Saccharomyces cerevisiae S288C: one gene and its partner. Changing the gene in region 2 together with the main gene of any one other region gives a genetic interaction. Each region holds a gene or a part of one and is shown on either strand. Other genes may lie near its edges. The genes, in order: ZNG1 and YOR387C.

What was found.
Region 1: mutations in YOR387C (region 2) and ZNG1 together harm fitness more than expected from each alone (negative genetic interaction), as found in Saccharomyces cerevisiae (one large-scale study listed by BioGRID).

Annotation. Positions count from the first base shown.
Region 1 is NC_001146.8:676,362-680,268, forward strand, and holds ZNG1 (GTP-dependent zinc transferase), read right to left. Parts: upstream 2,128-3,907; coding exon 838-2,127; downstream 1-837. Other genes in the region: peptidylprolyl isomerase family protein CPR8, read left to right, coding at 1-742; ALG12 (dolichyl-P-Man:Man(7)GlcNAc(2)-PP-dolichol alpha-1,6-mannosyltransferase), read left to right, coding at 2,438-3,907. UniProt on the Saccharomyces cerevisiae protein: Zinc chaperone that directly transfers zinc cofactor to target metalloproteins, thereby activating them.
Region 2 is NC_001147.6:1,068,998-1,072,239, reverse strand, and holds YOR387C (uncharacterized protein), read left to right. Parts: upstream 1-1,998; coding exon 1,999-2,619; downstream 2,620-3,242. Other genes in the region: FDH1 (formate dehydrogenase (NAD+)), read left to right, coding at 1-447.

The DNA of each region.
Region 1 (3,907 bases), on a different chromosome or scaffold from region 2:
GGAAGAAGCCGGCCGTCTCATAACAATAGACTTATACGGGACTATGGTGCCCAAGACAGTAATGACTTTTTGCCAGTATGTTGATAGTGTAAAAGATCGCCTTGCTTCCCGTCACAGTTACTCGCCAGAACGCGATTTTGATAAAATTCTACCGAATGGAGCTATAGAAGGTAGCTCCGTTTCTTCCTCCTCTATTGAAGAAACGGAAATGTTGGCTCCAAAACTCCCGGAAGAAAATCATAGTTTAATTCATGATAGGCCAGGCAGAGTTTCCATGATTAAGGACGATAAGGGTCTTAAGTTTATAATTGAGACCAGTGAGACGCCACTTGAAGGTGAAAGTGTTGTGTTTGGCCAAGTTACCGCCGGGTTAAAAGATCTGATGGATAAACTAGCTAATGTGAAAACTGACGAAAATGGCAAACCAGAGCAACCAATAACAATAGGTTACATTTCATCCCAGGAACACAGGATTCAGCATGCAAAGGAAGCTCACGAAAAGTATTTACAAAGGCTTCAAGATTACCAAAACGGCGATTTGGAGAAAGGTATTACATTGAAGAATTATTTATACCAGGGTAGTCAAAGAAAGTTAGAAGACGCAAAATATAATCAGCTTCACCATCCTTTACCAAAGATTATGCTTGGTATTTCGGTATTGTTACTTTTCTACGTTTTGGCCAAGTACAGGAAAAGAATATTCAACAGATCGTCTAAAATAGTTTCTATTAGAGAGGATTAAAATGTTTCGATCCATCCGCTTAATATTCATTCATTTTGTATCACATACATACGTATAAATATACATAACTTACCTCGTCTTTATTATGCCAACCATCATTCCAGGGTTTTACGTAACAGTTCCTCTATGGATTCCTTTTCTAGGTACTTCCCAATCAGCACAATTTTACACTCTTTATTGGATCCGTCATATTTGCCTGGAAAGACATCGTAGGTGTCGCGGACGCCTTGGATTACACGAGCAATGGGGTTCTCTCCTTCAATAAGTATCAGACCTTTAGTTCTTTGTACTTCCCAATCACGGCCGTCATCTCGGCGACGCCCTCCCAGCACTGTCATGGCTCCAAAATTCTTCCACAATAAAGGTTGCAAAAATTGCTTAATAAACTTATTATTATATTCTTCCTCGTTTTTTAATGGTCTGAAAGTAAGCATTATTGTGCCCATTCGATCATCATGAATGGTACCGTTTCCGCTACCACTATCTAAGATGTCAGATATCCGTACACTGTCGTATGCATGAATATCTAGTAAATTTTGAATCGGCGTATCACTATACTTGGTGAAGAACATCGGTGCGATAGAATTTATTTCCCGTACTCTTTCTTTTAATTGTTTGACCATTTCTGGTGAATGTTCGATAGTATCGTATTTGTTCATTATAATTCGATCAGCCATGGCTAGTTGGAAGTGTGCAATAGTCAGATTCCCCTCCAAACCAACTTTGTCACCATGCCAATGGGCATCGATGGAAATATCATCTAAGCATTTTAGTATATGCTCACAATCCAAAACCGTGATGATCCCGTCAATGTAAACGCTGCTATTCAATCCTTCGTCCTGCCAGAACATTTTCGCAATGGGGGCGGGATCTGCAATACCGGAGGTCTCTAAAAGGATATAATCGATTTTACCAGGTGAACGCTCCACCATATCTTCGATGGCTTTAACACCTATATTTTTCAACGAACAACACAGACACCCGTTACCCAAATCCAACCATTCTTGGTAGCTGTTCGATCCATTTTTAATGGTCATAGCCTTTTCGATTTCACTAGAATCTCCAAATTCATTTAAAATTACGGCAATTTTTTTATCTGCACCTTTTAATGCAATTTTTTCCAGCAACGTCGATTTACCTGATCCTAGATAGCCGGTAATAATGCTCACAGGAATACGCTTTTTCTCGTGCACATCTGTTGCGCCTGCAGAAGTGTTCTCCACTTGCTTGTTTACCCTTTCAACTTTTGCATCGCTAACAATATTTCCACCATCATACGAGACATTTTCCAAAATTTCTTGTAGATTATTTTCTTCACCTGTTACGAGGCAGGGTAGTTCACCATCTTCTTCTTCATTGAACTTGATGTTTCTCAATGCAGACATTCTTCCGCTTTAAAAGTTGAAAATTCCTCAATGAAAAGGGTGTTCTTGGCTTTACAAGCGCATTAAACATTTAATATTATATAATATTTATAATATACATGTTATTCCAATAGTGAAAAAAAAAAAAAAATGAAAATGAAAATGAAAAATTCGGCCCTTAAAAATGAACAACCTTTTACCAGCCGGCATTAAATGTCGTGGCACTTCACAGTTTATAACGCAAGGAATTTACTAATAGCAAGTGAAACCATTAACGATTAGTGTTGTTAAAAGAGTTGAATAAAGCCATTAAACAACGATTCAGTTGACAATGCGTTGGTCTGTCCTTGATACAGTGCTATTGACCGTGATTTCCTTTCATCTAATCCAAGCTCCATTCACCAAGGTGGAAGAGAGTTTTAATATTCAAGCCATTCATGATATTTTAACCTACAGCGTATTTGATATCTCCCAATATGACCACTTGAAATTTCCTGGAGTAGTCCCTAGAACATTCGTTGGTGCTGTGATTATTGCAATGCTTTCGAGACCTTATCTTTACTTGAGTTCTTTGATCCAAACTTCCAGGCCTACGTCTATAGATGTTCAATTGGTCGTTAGGGGGATTGTTGGCCTCACCAATGGGCTTTCTTTTATCTATTTAAAGAATTGTTTGCAAGATATGTTTGATGAAATCACTGAAAAGAAAAAGGAAGAAAATGAAGACAAGGATATATACATTTACGATAGCGCTGGTACATGGTTTCTTTTATTTTTAATTGGCAGTTTCCACCTCATGTTCTACAGCACTAGGACTCTGCCTAATTTTGTCATGACTCTGCCTCTAACCAACGTCGCATTGGGGTGGGTTTTATTGGGTCGTTATAATGCAGCTATATTCCTATCTGCGCTCGTGGCAATTGTATTTAGACTGGAAGTGTCAGCTCTCAGTGCTGGTATTGCTCTATTTAGCGTCATCTTCAAGAAGATTTCTTTATTCGATGCTATCAAATTCGGTATCTTTGGCTTGGGACTTGGTTCCGCCATCAGTATCACCGTTGATTCATATTTCTGGCAAGAATGGTGTCTACCTGAGGTAGATGGTTTCTTGTTCAACGTGGTTGCGGGTTACGCTTCCAAGTGGGGTGTGGAGCCAGTTACTGCTTATTTCACGCATTACTTGAGAATGATGTTTATGCCACCAACTGTTTTACTATTGAATTACTTCGGCTATAAATTAGCACCTGCAAAATTAAAAATTGTCTCACTAGCATCTCTTTTCCACATTATCGTCTTATCCTTTCAACCTCACAAAGAATGGAGATTCATCATCTACGCTGTTCCATCTATCATGTTGCTAGGTGCCACAGGAGCAGCACATCTATGGGAGAATATGAAAGTAAAAAAGATTACCAATGTTTTATGTTTGGCTATATTGCCCTTATCTATAATGACCTCCTTTTTCATTTCAATGGCGTTCTTGTATATATCAAGAATGAATTATCCAGGCGGCGAGGCTTTAACTTCTTTTAATGACATGATTGTGGAAAAAAATATTACAAACGCTACAGTTCATATCAGCATACCTCCTTGCATGACAGGTGTCACTTTATTTGGTGAATTGAACTACGGTGTGTACGGCATCAATTACGATAAGACTGAAAATACGACTTTACTGCAGGAAATGTGGCCCTCCTTTGATTTCTTGATCACCCACGAGCCAACCGCCTCTCAATTGCCATTCGAGAATAAGACTACCAACCATTGGGAGCTAGTTAACACAACAAAGATGTTTACTGGA
Region 2 (3,242 bases):
TTGGAGGATATGGTTGCTCAGTCAGATGTTGTTACCATCAACTGTCCATTGCACAAGGACTCAAGGGGTTTATTCAATAAAAAGCTTATTTCCCACATGAAAGATGGTGCATACTTGGTGAATACCGCTAGAGGTGCTATTTGTGTCGCAGAAGATGTTGCCGAGGCAGTCAAGTCTGGTAAATTGGCTGGCTATGGTGGTGATGTCTGGGATAAGCAACCAGCACCAAAAGACCATCCCTGGAGGACTATGGACAATAAGGACCACGTGGGAAACGCAATGACTGTTCATATCAGTGGCACATCTCTGGATGCTCAAAAGAGGTACGCTCAGGGAGTAAAGAACATCCTAAATAGTTACTTTTCCAAAAAGTTTGATTACCGTCCACAGGATATTATTGTGCAGAATGGTTCTTATGCCACCAGAGCTTATGGACAGAAGAAATAAGAGTGATTATGAGTATTTGTGAGCAGAAGTTTTCCGGTCTCCTTTTGTTCTTGTTTTGGCGTATTCTCCACTATTCGTCCATAGCACATTTATACCTTAGCTAAATATTTTGTAAAGCAAAATTTTCGTTATCTCTTAAAAAATAGAAGAGCGGTTTATTAATATCAAATAATTGAAACTGCTGATATGGTAGCTATATACAAAATCTGCTGTCAAAATTTGGCAGTAAACGATCTTCACGGTAGCGGTTCAAATAAAGAGGAAAAGTCTTTCTCCCTTACTGTTTTTCTGGAATTTGGCTCGTCGTTAATAACAGAACTAAAGATACAGTAAAAGGAGAGATCGCAATCAACTTCATTAATTGTAACAGTAGCATAATCACAACTGATCATCTACACTATAAACAGTTTTTATTTCTAATTATGGGCGCCTGGCCGGCTCAAACATTGTGCTTTTAAGACTCCAAAAGTATCTGCTGCAGAAAAGAGCCATATAATGTTAAGTGTTCAGGGATAGGTTATCGCTTACTACTTCAAACGTTTCGAAGGAAAGCCAGGGAAGCCTATATCTGATTCCCTGTTTCATAATCCAATGCAGCCACTAGCTTATAATTATTTGAACTATTTGTCGAACATCACAGTAATAAAATCCCCAGAAAGTTCCACTTGCTGCATATTGGCACCTGTTGATTCACTCTCCATCACTTTTTTGTTAGCCGCCCAGCCTAGAAAGTCTTTAAATACATCTGAAATTTTTTTTTTTTTAACAGTGCACCCGTGCATCATACCTCATGCAAGGTACCTTTTTTTCTCAAAGGTATTGTCTTCCATTGAAGTGGCACTATGGCATGATGAACCCTGAGCATTTCTGAATTCAACAGAACCAAATTGTCCAGAAATAAATCTGTCCGACATGAATTATGAAACTTTTTTTCAATTAAGTGAAGAGAATTTTGCAGCGTCTTACCATTATTTTGACCCATTGGTCGCATGTTTGCGCTTTGACTTCGAGAACCATGTTAAAGCTTACTTGTACGACAACCAATGAAGTATATTACGGCAGTTTTTTTGGACTGGGTCAAAAAAAGTGTTGCATAATCAAATCAGGAACACATTAAAATGTTGTAAAATTTGTCTTAGTATCACCTGAGTGGTTATTCATTACGTACTACTGTCAAAATATTCGGATCTTTCCTAAACGGGCTTTTGAATTAGTGTTGCTTCTATTCCTGGAATGGAAGGTAATACTTTCATGCATTCTCGCTTTTCGGACTTTTAACAATAAATTAAAAACAATGATACTTTCATCAACTACCTATACACCCTGCGGGTCAATTATTTTTTTTTCGAATAACCGCTGAGGTTGGAAATATAGAAACATATTCCAGATCTGTATTTTCAGTTGCTAGAAAAAGGTTAATATAATCATTAAGGTTTTCAGCATATAACAGGTATAATTGATATATAAGCATCGTAATTTTCATTCAAAATGGAGAGCTACTGCTTCTGATAGATTGTACAATCTCAAGAAATCAAGAACAACAACCATACCATGAGTTTCCTAAACATTTTTACTTTTTTCAGCGTCCTTGTGTCTGTTGCAACAGCCGTCAGATTTGATTTGACTAACGTCACTTGTAATAACCTACATGGACCTCACTGTGGTACCTACGTTATGGAAGTCGTTGGCCAAAATGGTACATTTTTGGGTCAATCTACGTTTGCTGGTGCCGACGTTTTAACTGAAAGCGCTGGTGACGCTTGGGCAAGATATTTGGGCCAGGAAACAAGATTCCTCCCAAAGTTGACTACTATTGCTAGCAATGATACGAAGAACTTTTCTCCACTAATCTTCACCACCAATATCTACACTTGTAACCCTCAATCCATTGGTGATGCTATGGTTCCTTTTGCTAACACTGTTACTGGTGAAATTGAATACAACTCTTGGGCAGACACCGCTGATAATGCTTCCTTCATAACCGGTTTAGCTAACCAATTGTTTAACTCTACTCAGTATGGCGTTCAAGTTGCTTCCTGTTACCCAAACTTTGCTTCTGTTATTTTGAGCACCCCAACTGTGAACATTTTCGCTGCGAATGAGACATTACCAGATTATTGTACCGCCATCCAGTTGAAGGCCGTTTGTCCACCAGACGCTGGTTTTGCTTGATTTTTTCCAGCTGCATAATCTGTAGACATATTTTAAGTATATTTTTTAGGCAGTTTTATAAATTAACAGACTATAATTATTTTAGAGAAAAAGACCCAGATTTATACTTCTGACTTTTCTTTTTTATGTTGATCTTATTGTCACTGTCATTGGATCATAATAATGATTCTTTTTTGAACTTCTCTTGAAAGTATCCTCTTATTCTCTTTTGATGATAGGTCCAAATGCACGTGTACTTAGAGATTAGAGCGCAGATGGTTTTCTTGTCAACATCATATCAATTGTTTGCCGAACCAAAATACAACGTTGACTTGATCGTTCCTAGGTCCATCAGCTACTGCACATTCTTACGAGTTATTCATCCGTGAAATATAGCTACATTTTCGAGCATATCTTGAAGTGGTCCATTCTCAACATCACCCTTTCAATTACGCGTGTTTTAAAATACCCAACGTCGTCAGAATCCGACTGATCATCATGGTAAGACTATTGCTCCAAGCAATCTAACCAAGGCATTCTCTTTTCCCTTTTAATTAGTTCACAGTCACTGGCAAACAATCTTCTCTAATCAAAAAAAGAAATTTATTCTATATTGTCTTCTCCGTATTTTGCCCTCTTCACTC